4 linked regions of the Canis lupus familiaris genome follow. The protein of the gene in region 4 interacts with the protein of the main gene of each other region in a pairwise test. Links are inferred from orthologs where the notes say so. Each region holds a gene or a part of one and is shown on either strand. Other genes may lie near its edges.

The links.
Region 1: the proteins of SIAH1 (region 4) and KHDRBS3 interact in a two-hybrid assay, tested with the Homo sapiens proteins (3 studies listed by BioGRID and IntAct). The link is inferred for Canis lupus familiaris from reciprocal best matches to the Homo sapiens genes SIAH1 and KHDRBS3.
Region 2: the proteins of SIAH1 (region 4) and CTSK interact in a two-hybrid assay, tested with the Homo sapiens proteins (2 studies listed by BioGRID). The link is inferred for Canis lupus familiaris from reciprocal best matches to the Homo sapiens genes SIAH1 and CTSK.
Region 3: the proteins of SIAH1 (region 4) and TMEM43 interact in binary tests that used the Homo sapiens proteins (3 or more experiments, as listed by UniProt). The two-hybrid records come from large-scale screens. The link is inferred for Canis lupus familiaris from reciprocal best matches to the Homo sapiens genes SIAH1 and TMEM43.

The regions. Positions count from the first base shown.
Region 1 is NC_049234.1:32,045,874-32,049,839, reverse strand, and holds part of KHDRBS3 (KH domain-containing, RNA-binding, signal transduction-associated protein 3), read right to left. Parts: intron 3,176-3,966; exon of another isoform or gene 3,071-3,175; intron 791-3,070; coding exon 595-790; intron 1-594. UniProt on the Homo sapiens protein: RNA-binding protein that plays a role in the regulation of alternative splicing and influences mRNA splice site selection and exon inclusion. Binds preferentially to the 5'-[AU]UAAA-3' motif in vitro.
Region 2 is NC_049238.1:60,586,542-60,589,462, forward strand, and holds the end of CTSK (cathepsin K precursor), read right to left. Parts: coding exon 2,871-2,921; intron 1,932-2,870; exon of another isoform or gene 1,832-1,931; intron 1,013-1,831; coding exon 913-1,012; downstream 1-912. UniProt on the Homo sapiens protein: Thiol protease involved in osteoclastic bone resorption and may participate partially in the disorder of bone remodeling. Displays potent endoprotease activity against fibrinogen at acid pH. May play an important role in extracellular matrix degradation.
Region 3 is NC_049241.1:4,315,811-4,319,776, reverse strand, and holds part of TMEM43 (transmembrane protein 43), read right to left. Parts: intron 3,490-3,966; coding exon 3,440-3,489; intron 3,170-3,439; coding exon 3,100-3,169; intron 2,338-3,099; coding exon 2,267-2,337; intron 1,416-2,266; coding exon 1,294-1,415; intron 1,016-1,293; coding exon 941-1,015; intron 523-940; coding exon 349-522; intron 1-348. UniProt on the Homo sapiens protein: May have an important role in maintaining nuclear envelope structure by organizing protein complexes at the inner nuclear membrane. Required for retaining emerin at the inner nuclear membrane.
Region 4 is NC_049223.1:65,986,504-65,991,025, reverse strand, and holds the start of SIAH1 (E3 ubiquitin-protein ligase SIAH1), read right to left. Parts: upstream 3,188-4,522; 5' UTR 2,691-3,187; coding exon 2,600-2,690; intron 301-2,599; coding exon 1-300. UniProt on the Homo sapiens protein: E3 ubiquitin-protein ligase that mediates ubiquitination and subsequent proteasomal degradation of target proteins.

The sequences.
Region 1 (3,966 bases), on a different chromosome or scaffold from region 4:
GTTTCCACGGATATATTTTCTTTCTCTTACGTTCAGTTAAGTCTATGAACCGTATCAAAGACTTATTGAATGGTAAATGGAAACACTGACTGATTTGCATTAACATAAAAAACTGGGAACTTTTGTTTTCTTCACTGAAAAAAAATTCAACTAAGAATCCACATTCAGCAGCAGCACTTAAGAGGAAAACACTTCAGGGTAAAAACAACTTGGCATCTGTAGGTGATTCTTTTTTAAATGACTGAATTACTCAGAGGCAACCTGGAGTGGAACATGAACGAATGTTACATTAAAACCTGTTAGAGCTTGATAATATGTCTCCTTGATCCTGGGCTCGAACCTCCCACCACCCAAATGCATCTTCCCTATCTTAGATGTAAGCTACTTGATGAAAGAGGCTATTTCTTTCTCATTTTTTATGCTTCTCATATCACACCTTATTTAGCACTCAATAAATGTTTGCTGAACTAAGGTGGAATATTTGAGAATAACAGCAAGTAAGGGCAGGTACTTGGTTACAACATCCAATGCTATGTATATATGGACTGGCTCGATCAGATCAGCACAGCTGCTGTGTGACCTGACTTGACTTACATAATCTCCATAGGTCTCTTGTGTTGGGGGTGGTGGTGGAGGTCTGTACCCAGTTGGGGGAACTCCTCTTGCTCTGGGAGTGAGAAGTCCTCTTCCCCGACTCACTGGCCCTCGGGTGGAAAGGACTCCCCTGGAAGCTGGCGTCCCTCGTGGTACACCAACTCCAACTGGCCGGGTGGTGACTCCTCCCCTTCCCCTGCAAGCAAGAAGGTCAAGTTAGCAATATTCATCATATTCTCTACCATTCCATGGTTCACATGAATTTATATTTCAGAAAAATCAACGTTCCATATTTCTGTAAAGAGAAATAAGGAAATCATATGCAAAGTGAAAACTAAAACAAGTGAGAAACAACTACATAGCAAAAGGAATTTAAGTCATTTCGGTGGCTTATCCAGCAGCAATAAATAAAATAACAACAAAGAAACCCCAAGACTCAATTTCTGGCTAAGAGAGAGTAGGAAGCTATGACACGTGGGAAGGCTGCAGCACCTACTGAGGATCTCTCTGTGATGCCAGGTCAGGCTCACAACCAACCTTCATGCCAGCACTATGAAGTGGGCTGTATCTGCTTGTCTGTGGACAAGGAAACCGAGGCTACAGAGATCTTCAAACCGAGGACACACCACTAGCAAAGCTAGGGACCAAAGCATACATCAGAGTTCCATGAAAGAGAAAATTAAATGTACCTTCCCAAATAATGTACTGAACATTTAGTAATTTAAAATACCATTCTTAAGTTAAATAAACACAGATACTTTCTGAAGTAGAATTCAGCATATTTATGTATTTCTAACATAAAATATAAGATTTCAAGTCAGAGAGGAAGGAAGAAAGGAGCTGTATCAAGAAGAGCTCAACATAAGCAAAAACTTGAGAAAATGTGCAAGGCTTATGAAGAAATGAAGATGGAAAAATGCAGCTACACCACAGAATAAAGATTTGGCGTGATCCACCTGCCACAACATCCCCCAAATAAGGAGAACTGTCACAGATAATGTGGATGCCTACATGTCTTCTTCAGTTTGATTGGGATAACAAATACCTAGCTAAAAACAGAGAAAATTATCAAAACCAAAAGCTGTTTCTTTGAACGGATCAATATAATTGATAAACATCTCGGTATGCTAAACAAGAAAAATAAACAATATCAGAAATGAAATTGGGGTCCTCACTACTGACTGAAAGGGCATTAAAGGATATAAAGAAGATTACAAACTCAAGGCCTATAAATTTGTTAACTTAGATGAATTTCACTAATTCCTTGAAATATACAAATGACCAAATCCAAACCCCACAAATGGGGAATTAAGCAACTGGAATAAAGTTCTATTAAAGAACTTCAGTGAAAAAGTAATTACTAACCTTTCAAAACAAAAAAGCACCAGGGTCCCTGGGTAGCTCAGTCAGTTATGAACCCGACTCTTGATTTCAGCTCAGGTCATGATATTGGGGTTGTAAGATCGAGCCCCACATTAGGCTCCATACTGGCCATGGAGCCTGCTTAAGGTTCTGCCTCCCACTCTGCCCCCCTCCACCCCTCTATTAAAAAAAAAAAAAAAAAAAAAAAGAAAAGAAAATAAAAGAAAAAAAAAAGAAAAGAAAAGAAAAGCACCAAGCCCAGATGGTTTCACTGGTCAATTCTTTTATATATTAGTCTAGGGAAGATGCCAAGGGACTGGCCTAGCTGATATCTGACCTCCCCAGGAAGGGACATGTCATCCAAAGGGGAAAAAGGATGAGGCCTCCTAATAACCAAAGACATTATGAAATGAAACAAAACAAAACAAAACAAAATCCACATCTTTCCAAGAACAAAGGTGCACAATTCCTCAATAATAGTAGCGAATTAAATCCAACAATATATTTAAAAGGTATATACCATGACCAAGTGGGATTTATTCCAGGTATGTAAGGCTGGTTCAACATTAGCAAACAAATGTGACCTACTACATCAACAGGCTTAGGGGGAAAAAAAATCATATAATCATAAAGAGCAGAAAAAAACATCTAACAAAATACAACATCATTCATGATAAAAATTCTCGACAAAGCAGGAATAGAGGAAAATATCTCCAAGTTGAAACAAAGATCTACAAAAACCTACAACTACTATCATACTGAAAGGTAAGAAACTGGATGCTTCCCCCTTATGACTGGGAATAAGGTAAGGATGGCCATTCTTACTACTCCTATTCAAATTTTACTGGAAGTCCTAATTCAGTAAGAAAAGGGAATAAAACTTGTAAGATTGTGGAAGAAAAAATAAAATTTTATTTACAGGTGACATCATTTCCATGTAAAAATTCCCAAAGAATTAATCAGAACAAAATAAAACAAAGCAAGCAAACAAATAAAAACTCCTAGATCTTATTGCACAAACCAAGGTCTCAGAATACAGACAATAACTCAACAATATATATCATACAACAGCAATGGACAACTAAAATTTGAAATTAAAAGATAATTTAACAGTATTTGTTTTGGCAAGATATATACTAAAATTGTAATAATACCGAGAAGATTAGCAGAGTCTCTGCTCAAGGACAACATATCAATTTGTGAAGTATTTCATATTTCCCTATGCATGTCGGCGGGGGTGGAGGGGCAAGGGGCCTTTGGGAAATCTCTGTACCTTCCTCTCCATTTTGTTGTGAACCTAAAATTGCTGTAGAAAAAAAAAAGTCTTTAAAAAAATACACAATAAAAAAATTAAAAATACAAAGTAATGATAACATTTATTAAAGCAAGGAAATAAATGAAATGTTTTGGTACAAATCTAACAAAATCTAACTGTACAACTAACTATTCTATGTAGAAAACCATAAAACTCTGATGAAATAAATCAAAGGAGAAATATCCCATGCTTAACGATTATTACAGTCAATACTGTTCAGTTGTCAATTCTTCTCATCTTGACCTACAGACTCAATATAATCCCAATCAAAATCCCAGAGAAATACTTTGTAGACTGACGAACATATTCTAGAGCGTATATAGAAATGCAAAAGAGCCACAACAGACAACTTAATACTGAAGAAGAAAATTCTAGATGACTCACAGCATCTGACTTATTATGAAGCTACAGTAATCAAGGTAATAAGTATTGATGGAAAAAATATACACACAGAACAGTAGAACAAAAGAGAGAGCCCTGAAATTGATTCATAGAAATGTAGTCAAGGGACTACTGACAAAGAAGCAAAGACAATTCAATGAAATAGTGCTGGAACAAACAGACTTCTATGTGTGCCACAAAAAGAAAAAAAAAAAGAAACAGAAAAGAACCTAGACATATCTTTCACAAAAGTTAACTCAAAATGGATTTTAGACTTAATATAAAATATAAGACTTATAGAAGAAAATTCAGAA
Region 2 (2,921 bases), on a different chromosome or scaffold from region 4:
CCTGAAATTTAGAAAACTCTTAGTACATGGTAAGCACTTTATAAATGTTGGTTGAAGAAATGAACAAATAAATGAATTAGGATAAACTGTTTATGTGAGTCTCTCCAAGCACTTAGGAAAACATCATATATAAGAAATGTATTTTTTTTTGTTTTTTGTTTTGCTTTAAAGTTTTATTTATTTAAGCAATCTCTACACCCAACGTGAGGCTCGAACTCACAACCCTAATCAAGAGTTGCAAACTCCTCCAACTAAGCCAGGCAGGCACCCCAAATATATGTTTTTTTTTTTTCATCTTCCTGTCTCTAGCACCTAGCACAGTATCTGACACAAAATGAATGTTTACTAAATAGGTATTTATTAAATTAGAGACAAGAGATACTTAGTTTACTGTAAAAATGCAAAGAAGAAAACACATTTCTTGTATCACATGAACTTGTACCAAAGATTTATGAATAGATTTATTAATTGGGGTGGAAAAAATAGAAATTTCTATTTTCAGGATATAGAAGTGAACTTGGAGAGGTCAGGTCACCTTAGTCCTGTAGGTGGTTAAAGCTAACTAGTCACTGAGAATGAGAATCTGTCTGAAGATCTCTAGCCTCTGACTCTCCGCATAGCATCAGCCTCAGGACAACAGTCTGGTCAGGCTGTGGGCATATCTCTTAGCCTAAGAATGCATCCTGTTAGGGAAATTCCTACTGTGGGCACAGTGAAAAATAAAGGCCTTGGGTGGAGAGAAGGCAAATAGTAGGGGTGTTACTTGAAGCACAAACAGGGAAACTGAGTGGACAATCTCTATATTGCTACAACTGCTTCAGAAAAGGCACACTGACTCTCTCCCAAAGTACATCAGTATGCTGCTCCATCATGGAAGGAATGGAAAAGCAGGATGAGGTTGGCTGGCTGAAGTCACATCTTGGGGAAGCTGGCCAGGTTGGCAATGCCGCAAGCGTTGTTCTTATTCCGAGCCATGAGGATATAGCCTTTGTTTCCCCAGTTTTCTCCCCAGCTGTAGGACCAATGAAGGAAAATACTTAGTACCCTAAGTTTATTTATTCATTAAAACACTTACTGACTATTGTGCTAGGTACTGATGGTATAAAAAATGAATAAAACAGTTTTTACCTTTAAAGCATTTAAAGTAAAGGAAAGGAGAGAAGGCATAATGCTAGAGGCCTCAAGGACAGGGGAGACTGCGGTGATCAAGGAATCAAAAAAGGCTTAATGCAAGAGGCAGCATTTGAAGTGAGCCCAAAGACTAGATAGACCCATGCAAATGGGATGCCAGCAGAGGAGTATGAAATACTAAAGGCAGGAAAGCATGAGACATGTGTGAAGATTAGGTGACTGAAAAATAGCGTGTTTGACAGGGTACAGTAGGACATATGCCTGGAAAGGTATATTGAGATCAGGTTGAATTATCTTTACTGCCAGCCTAAAGAGTTCAATTCTGTGGTCCATTCTAGTGGAAGAGAGACTGAGAGTTTCAGATTGGGAATGTAATATGGTCCAACTTGTGTTTAAGGAAGAATAATCTTGAAATCATGAATCTAGAGCATAAGAAAGAAGTAAGAGAGGCTGAAACTGGTGATCTTGGTCTTACTGGGTAAACCCAAAAGGAGAGATGAAGCTACGAGAATGAATGAGACTGCTGAGGAAAGAAGTGGAGAGAATGGAAGACAATGGGGTGTGGGAGAGGAGATTGGTCTATGTATCTTCCTAAATAGTTTCCATGAGTTTTCTGTCCTTTTCCCTCAAACAGCAAATTCTCCAGTTACCCAATACATTTTGCTTAACACCATTACCCCACTCCTATTCCCTTCTCTAGGGGTGTCCAGTGATCCTGACCCTGCTTAAGTGTGTCCCTTATTCCTCCCAGCTCTCCTAGATCATGTTCCACCTCTGGCACCTGACCAGGGAAGGACAGAGTAAGTACTTGGGGCTGGGAGTCGACAAAGGGAGAACATAGGACAGAAACTGTGGGAGGAGTACCTTTTTAGAAAGGTGTTTGGGTTCAGCCTTAGTTGGGACTGTGATCTACACATTCTATCCTTCCAGTCCTCTAGACAGCAGCACAACTTGCTTATAGCACTGTTCTGGCCTGTGAACTCCTCAGAGTCTAAGACTCCTGTCCACTGAAGGCACCAAGGACAGAGAGTTTAGTTAGTGCTGTTGCCAGGCTGGTATTGGCCGATGAGGAAAGGAAAAGTATAATTCTCATTAAGTTTACCCTCCAAAGTCACAAAAGGGGAGCCAAAGAACACTGTAGGTTTTATTTACTCCCAGTAATAGGGAAGGAAACACTAATTGTTGTTGTTGTCTTATCTACTTCCCAAAAAGTGTTTCTCTTCACAGACATCAAAATCTTTGGCCAATTTTTATATATGTTATCCTAAGTATATCTGGACGGGCAAAAAGTTGCACAACTGGATATAAATCTTTACATTGGTTCCCTACTGCTTACAAACAGACTGATGATGGAAAGCTTCCTAAGATATTGATCACATTATAGAAAAAAGAAATAAAAAACTATGTAATTCCAAACTTCCTGCTGGTTTCTTGGTGCTATTGTATGTTCTGGTTAGTTAGGTCTTTCTTAAGGGGCTGTGAGATCACCAAAGGCAAACATTCTGTTCTTTGCTATACAACTAAGTACCTTGCATGTGGGGCAGCTGCCCAACACATACTCTGAGTACTACTGTCTGGCCATGATATGTTAGAACTAATAGCCTCTGATTGGGAAGGGAGAACTAAAAAGTTTGAGACGACTTTCTCTTGAAGAGAGAGAAAGAAATATTGGGAAGTTGGAGTTGAAGTTGAGTGCTAATAGGGGGATCGAGTGCCAAACTTAGTATCCCCATCATTACCTGTTTTTAATTATCCAGTGCTTGTTTCCTTTCTGGATGCCATATCCCACT
Region 3 (3,966 bases), on a different chromosome or scaffold from region 4:
TAACCCAGCAAAACTGTCACTGGGAGAGGCTTCCCCAGAGTCCATCTCCCGCCTCCGTTTCACAACACTCAGTGCAAGGCATCTTCACTCCTCGGTTCTCCTGGCAAGTCCCCTCCCCCCAGGAGACGGGAGGCTGGAGAAGGAGGGGTCCGCTGTGTCCCCCCTTCTGTCCTCCATGCCATGCATGGTCTGCTGCACACACGAGGAGACATACTCCTGCCACCTTCTCCCCTGCTCAGTGTGCTGGCTGTGCCCCCAGTGGGGGCGCTTGCTGAATAACCACGGGAGGGGCGAGGGAAGGGGGAGACGCCTGCCCCTCCAACACACAGATGGGCAGCAGCAGCTCACCTCTGCCGAGAAGTCCCCGTGGTGCAGGAGAAGCAAGGTGTCCCCCGACTTGGTGGAGTAGGGGACCAGCTGGTCACCCCGCTGCCGGGCAATCACAGTGACCTGGTCAGAGACCTCAGGGTTAGAGCTGAGGGGATCAGGCGGCCAGGCCCCGGCAGCCCTCGCACCATGTGCCTGCAAGGAGAGTGAGGAGATCCAGCCCACTCACAACTCCAGGGAGGACCTGGCGCAGAAGCCTGTGTCAGGGCCGGGGCCAGGGGTGAAACTGCATGTGACACGTGACAGGGTCACAGACTGGAGACCAAGTATTTACAGAGCAAAGCCTGGGGGCTGGGGGGAGAAAAGGAGTGTGCAATTGGAGGAACTCTCCCAGGAGGGCCCTCTAAAGCAGCAGGAGAAAGGCCCCTTATCCTGGGGCCCACGGGTGTCCATGGATAGCTGTGGTGCACACAGGGCTGAGGCCGCTCAAGGCACGCCCGCCGTGTGCCCACGGGAGTGCACGCACACAGGAAGGGTCCCATGCGCTCAGGGCCCCGTGCACAGCGGGAGGTGAGGTGGCTCTGCCTGGGTCCGCGCAGGGGAAGCCGGTTACCACGTGAGCCGGGCCCAGGTCCGGGTCGTCGCCGCTCAGCCCCGCATAGGAAAAGGACACACGCACGTCTCCGACCTGGGAGTGAAGAGCGGGGGGCTGAGTGAGGCCCGGGGCAGCCAGCCTGGGCCCATGTCCCCAGCACCGCCAAACCCCAAGGCTCACACTGCTCTCCCGCTTCCATACCATGGCCCAGGTGCCCCCTCCAATTTCATTTGGCCAGGTGGATTAAACTGAACCGAATCCGAGTCCCAAACAGGAATGTGCCTCCTCTATGTTGTGGGGCGGGAAGACGGGGGGAGGGGCACTCCAAGGCCCTGATCTCTGCTACGTGAACAGCCCAAAGCCCTGTGTACCTCTGGGTACTTGGGGTTTTCGCTGTGGTAGAAATAGTCTCCCCTGCGAATGATGTCCACGTGCGGGTCGTCCAGCTTGGCCAGGCTCAGCGGTTTGAAGTTGTCTACTTTGTCGATGAGGCCTGAGGAGTGTGCAGCGGTTACAACACTGGTGTGCAAACAACCTCCCTACCACCTGCACACCCCACAGCCTGACCTCCTTCCCAAGGGGAGCGCCGGGATCTCCAATCCCTCCTTCCCTACTGCTGCCCCCTTCAGTCTCCATTTCCTCTAGGAAGCCTCCCTGGCTGTCTCTCGGGGCAGCAAGAGTGGCTGCGGCTTTGAGAACAGCCTGAGCCCCTGCCTGAGCCTGGCTCCCCTGCTGCTTGCATGACACTTGAGGCCAGGGCTGCCAGGCACAGCAGCCAGCAGCACGGCAGCCACACGAGCCAGGCCCTAGGGCCCGGCCTCTCCTCCCTTGCCCTGACTGTGCTGGGCCTCCACCCCTCCTCCCTACCCTGGCTATTTGGGGCCTGTGCTTCTCTCCCACCCCAGGAGTCACTGTGGCCGGCAGTGTTGCCTTGTCCCTGGAAAGCCTCTGTCTGGAGTCACTCGGAGGGGCCTGCAGTGAACTGCTGCACGCTGGGTGGGGCTCAGAGGTGGAGCCCGTGGGGGGCAGCCTTGTCTCTACGGCTGGCTCTGGGACCGCTTAGGAAGGCCCTCAGCTCTGTCTGGTCAGACCAGGCACCAGCAGTACTTGGAAGAAACCGTGTTCAGGGGAACCTGGCTGGGATGGGGCTGCTCTACACAAGTCTCCCACCTCCCCGGGACCTACCTGCCTTCCCTCTGGCCCCCAGCCCAATGTATGATGCCGGGAAAGCGCAGGCCGATCCCACACCCGGGGCAGCGGGGACCCCAGCTCCTGCGAGGCGGCCAAGTAGAAGCACACGGCCTCTGGGTGCTGCTGGGTCATCTGAAGGGGCCAGAGACTCACCTGCTGAGAGGAAGAACCTGCCAATCTGCACGAAGGGGGCTGTTGCCGTGAAGGACTCCACCGCCATTGCGCTGTGGGGCAGAAAGAGCTATTGGCAGAGCAGGGTACTGGCCAGGAGCCCTCTGGGTCTCTGGGTTGTACCAGGCAGGGTTCCCACCCAGGCGCTCCTGCCAGTCCAGACCAGCCCAGGCACTGGGGACATCTTGTGTTTACCAGACCTGCCCCTGGAGACTCCTGTCCCCCTCGCCTGGGTGGAGCACCCTCTTCCTGTCTCCCAGAGCTTCATAACTTCTCACCTAGGGCCCCTACCGGCCTTCCCCTCCCCAGCCACCCGTTGTCAGATGGACTTCAGACCCTCCCAGGCCCTCCCCAGCCACAGGGAGCTCCCGTGCCAGCCACGGTGCAGACTCAAAGCCCCTCCCATGGCTCCACCACTAAGCCCATCTCACCACCCCCATGTCTCTGAGCTAGCTGCCCTCTGCCAACATCCTACAAAGGCCTACATCAAATTCATGGCCTCCTGAAAGTCCTTCTGATTGTCTTCCCACCCCCACAGCCGGTAACAGAATGCTTCCCTGGCACTGGATGTGCAAGTTCCTTCAGGCACTCAGTCCAGGCCTCACATTCACGACTTGAGGGGAGCCTGTGTGGTCTCAGGAAGTCAGCTCTTGCCTCCATGTGCCACAGGAGCCGGCCTCAGAACCATGTCCCCGACTATCATCAACTCATGAGGCAGAAGCAGCTCCACGCCATCACTCAGATGGGGAAGCTGGGGCTAGGGGCCTGCCACTGGCAGGCAAGACTATGCTCAGGCCTGGGCACCCAGCTCTCACCTGGGGTTCTTGTGGCCGATCTCTCGGTCGAAGTTTCTGCTGTTGACGATTTCTGACCTCCATTCAGTGTCTGTGACAGGGAGAGGGAATAACTCGGAAACCATAGTAAGAGTGGCCATATGTCTGAGGACCACTGGCTCTGTGTCCTTTTATCTAAGCCCGTGGCCACTCCAGGGCAGAAGGGGTGGCTCCTAGAGCCTCACTGGACAGATGGAAGAGCAGGACTCCCATGATGGGCACCCAGGGCTCCCAATGCCTGGTTCTATGCCTTCCCTACTGCTGTCAGCCTTGGCTAAGGGCAGAGACCACGTGTGTGCAGGGGGGTGGGGGTGGTACTCACTGTAGGAATACCTTGTCTCTGTCTTCACCTGCCCATCTTCCGTGTACTCCCTGCAGGGAAAGCATAGGCAGCCCCAGAGTCAGCCTATCACCCCTGAGGCATTCCTGTCTCTGAGTATCTCCAGCTGGAAGCAACACGGGGCTGCCAGGTCAAAATCCCCAAATGGAGCTGACCTTGTCTACAGCAGCCCAGAGACCAGGTACTCACTCCCAGCCACACAGCCAGCTCCGTCCTTTGGAGGCCCATGCTGGAGAAAAGAACTTTCTCATCCTGAGCTAAAATGTGCCTCCACTTGGCCACCCTCTGGGCTCAGAAACCTGGCTTCACCCTGTGCTCTAGCACAGTTCCCTGGAGCCCCCCTCCAGATGCCCTGGTTCCCTGAGCCACCCCCCTATCCCTTACTCACAGTCCAGGCCGCTCAGCTCTAAGCGACCCTCGCCTAATGACAGCTTGTGTTGGAACAGACAGGATGGAACCCGGGGCCACCTCTGCTCTGGCATGGGAGAGACCATAGAGCCCACACAGAG
Region 4 (4,522 bases):
ATTTACAAGGGAAAAGTACGGAATTGGCCACTTTCTCCATAGCCAAGTTGCGAATGGATCCCAAAGGGCCCCGGCAGGTTGGACAACATGTGAGCTTTGGGCGACAGTTGCTACAAACAAGATGGCCACTCTGACACTGAAGAATGGGTGGTAACACATAGTCAAAGCAGACCGGACACTCAAAAAGACTCGCCAAGTCATTGTTGGATGCGGTTGTGCCAGTCAGGGCGGGCACCCTCTGAGACGGGGTACACTTTGAGGTTCCAGTAGGTAATGCTGTTGCAGTCTGGCGGCTCATTTCTGTAACGAAAACATAAATAAAAATAAAAAGAGGCAGGAGAAATAATTAAAACTCTCACTTGTTTTATAAATAATGTTTACATGCCAGAAATACTTAAGTTTTATGAAAAACATACTGTGAGCAAAAAGAGTAAAGGATTTAAAAAAAAAAAAAAACACAAATTACACGAATTATGCATTTTGAGTATTATAGGAGTTGTGGACCAGATAAAATCTCTTTTATCAAAATGTCCCAAAACACATGTAGAATTCCCTTTCTTAAAAAAATATTAAAAAATCCCTTTGGATGAATTATACAATATGGAATAAATGCTGAAACAGAAACCAGACTGTAAACAACTAAGAAACCCTGTGTTAAGTAGCTTAAGTTCAACCAAAGCTGTTTTCACTGAACTTTCCCCTCTCCCTCGGTGTTCAATTGCCCTGCTCAGTCCATTTCTTTTCCATTCTAAGGCAGCTCGAAACAGTGACAGGGAGTCAGTCACAAGTAATCCAAAGGATCACCCAGGACATCAGCTCTGATTAACTCCGCCTAATGGCAAACAGTTATCTGCTTCAGTTGTAGATTTAGGGATGGAGGGGTCGTCAGGGGAAGGATCTGCTGCCATCCCATCATGCACCTTCATCTATTAAGTCTTCCCCTAGAATCTGAACACCAGCTACGTGTTAATTAATCTTACTTCCTACTGATCAGTAGGCCCCATAATAAAGGTGGGAGAAAGAGAAGAGAAATGGAGGGTAATCTCAAAAGTTTTTAGGTACTCAGAGAAAGTACATCTTTCTACTCTATTTCCATTGCACAATAAAATTACATATAATTTGAAAAGGGGAAGAAAAGAAGTAATTAAAGAATAAAGATTAAAACACCAGAGACACATGCAACATTGGGGACAGTAAACAGGTTAAGAATTCCTTGTATCCTAGGGTTCACTAGTGTTGCTGAAGCATTCATCAGCACAGGAATAAATATTATTTGAGATAAATGTCATCTGGAAGAAACGACAACAATGTAACTAGTTTGTCAGGCTAAATGAAAGATAAAGCAAATAAATACCTTTCCCAGGAATCTACTTTGTTAGGATATGACAGGCCATATTTGTCTCAGGGATAACAAAAGATCAGTCTACTGATGTCCCAAGACTGTATTCCCAACAACTATACAAACCATATTTCTAACAAAACTAAAACTGAATGCCTCAAATTTAATGCTTCCTCAATGTAATCATTATTGCTGCAAAGAACCTGACTTTAAGAAAACAACGCTGGTTACCCATGTGACTATATAAAAGCAACTGGACTTCTAGATTACTCAAGGATAGACACCAAGTGAGGGTTGAAGGTGACAAAAAAAATAGTCCACTGTCAACTAAAGTTAATATTCTACAATTCAAGAGTCTACAAAAGTACAGAATTCCACCATAAGGTGGCTTGTCACATGGACTTAAGGGACAACGGGAATCAATTCTCATCACCTGAAACACTGTACAACCCAGGTGTTTGATTCTTTGTGAGTACGATGATCCATGCATTTTCTACCACTTGGAAACAACGGGCTCAGCCTTGCCAAAATGCCCCACGTATATGCTGTATGCCTGTCTCGTGGTCCATTTTATACTGCTCACTTATGTGAGCAATGTTAGAATTGGAAAGTGGCTCCCTGCACACAAAACAGTCTAAACCACTGATGCCTTTTCAAATTACTAAACCAAACAAGCTAATCACATCAAGGAACAGTAAACTCGGCTTGTATTCAAAATAATAGAACTAGGAAAATATAAGCAAGAAAAATACTATCGTTTCATTTCCAGACCGAGCAAATAACTATACATAATCATCAATCATTCAGGCTTACATTCCAATATTATCTTTATTACTTTTGCAAACATTGTAAAAAAAACAAAAAACAAAAAACAAAAAAACAGTTTAAATCTCTAAAGAGTGAAAACAAGTGAAATGAGGCCGGTATTTCTTGCGAATGGAGGTATTACAGGACAGAAGGTGCTAAAACCTCCCAAAGCACCAAAGGTGGAACCCAGCTCCATCTTCAAACAAAAAGAACCCCAACCACAGAGCAGCCCTGCAGTAGGAACCACGGACTCAAGTGTCTTCAGACAACCCTGCAGGAGTGATGACGTAACCTGAAGCTTGGTTTAAACAGAGAAAAGTACAGTAGATCAAAAGAAACAGCAATGCAAACTAGAGCTCAATTACATTGCAGCCACTCCCTGATCCCGATTCCCCCAGCTCACAACTTTTCCCGGTTCATACTTTAAGCATCCCAGTCTCTTGGTGTCAATACCTTTTCTCTTCCTTGTCCCAGCTGCTGGCAGACATGTGAGCAAGACGCCCCTCCAGGAGTACGGAAAAGGTAAGGGAGACTTCCCGGTCATGAGAAGTCAGGCGGCTCATAGCCCTTCCCCCAGGAGCAAACACGATTTGTAACAGAGGCCCTGCTGGATGGACACGTTCTGCTCCTAAGCACGTCGGAGTTCAAGTCTTCAAGCAGCGAAGGTAAGCGCCCTGCTCTAGGATCCCCCATTCACTCCTCCGAAGCACCGGCTGCCGCAGCAGCAGAGGAACGAAGCCTCTCCCGTCCCCTCAGGAGTCCACCACACCTCCCCGCGAGCTCCAATTCGCCTGCGTTTCCAAAAATGGGCGCCATCACCGGAGCTGTCCTCCGCTGGGCCCTCAACCGCCTGCCCTGGAAGTTTGTCTTCCCCACATTCACTAGCCCGCCAGCGTGGGTGAAGGATGGGGCTGCAGGGTGCGCGGGGGCTGGTCAGGCGCACCCCGGAGCCAGCTCGGAGCTGCCGCAGGGTCCGGCCCGCCGGAGAGCCACGCGGGGCCCAGGGCTGGGCCTGGCGGTGCTGGGGGAGCCTGCTCCAGCCCGCAGCGCCCGCCGGCCTCCGCTCGCAGCGCCCAGCCCAGCCCAGCCCAGCCCAGCCGCAGCGAGCGCGGGGCGGGGCCGGCGGGGCCTGCGGGGCCGGACAGGGCGGGGCGGGGCGGGGCCGGCGCGGTGGTCACGCCCGCAAGCCCCGCCCCCCAGCCCAGGGCCGCTGGGGCGCTGCCCCGCACAACCCAGACCCTGCCCTCGACCCCAGGCAACACTGCAACCTCACCCATTTCCACAAGCTTACATTTAGTTCGAAACATGTCTTTCTGTAGAAAACAGATGCTGCCAATTCTGTATGATTTCAACCTAAGACCTACATAGAGTATATGAGAATTACGTGGCCAGAAAAGTGCTCTTCTCCTGGTTAACCATGTGTGAACTGTGCTCATAGAGTAAAAGCACTCTCCCCACTTCGTTCACTATATACTGGGCGTCAACGACCCGATTTCCTCAATTCTAACTCACTCCTCCACTTCTATCCCTGGTGACATCATACTTGAAACTCCTTCTCTTCCTTCGAATAGATTGCAGTGAGAGTAGTAAACACCCGTAACTCTATTAAACTCCTTCAACCTCCAAACTGAGATTATATTCTCTTCCCAGTCTGGGAAAACCATCTTAAATGGCCTCATTAAACAGAGAAGCTTGTGTTTTTAAAGAAGCATTACACGGGCCCCAATAAAGTCCTGGGCCTCAGATTTGCCCTGCGTCAGGTGGTACACTCAGGGGTTTAACCTGTCATTATATCATGCTTATAGGGCAGCCTTTAAACGCACAGCAGGAGCTCATGGTGGGAATGAACCCTGTGCAGTAAATTGTAGATTACCCATTTTCCAAATCAAATTTTAGTTCCAATCACTTCCAGACCCTATTGTATTCAGTCATTTCAACCTCACGTTAATATTAGGCTACATGAAACATCATTGGGAATAGAAATATGGATGAAGTTAGATAAAGTCTGCTCACTGACAAATATAAATTATTATTACCTACATTTTCATTTCCTAATACATTCACCCTAGAGCGGTCTCAGGCTGATAGGGCAGACGACTTCAAATGTTTTAGGCATCCCTGCCTTTCCAGAGTTAAAACTGAACCTAAATGTATAAAACAAGTCAAAGAGAAGGAATGATGGGGGGGAGGGGGGATCACTTTTCCCAAACTTCCGAAAGAGGTTACAGAGCCCTACAGAGTCTCTGAAAACCATTAACCTACAGACAAACCTCTCAACAAGTGAGTCAGGACAATAAAAGTGGCATCATTCTGGAGTCTCCTACACACAGCTGGATCCAAACCTAGTCTTCACCACCTGCTCAACCATAAAATGGG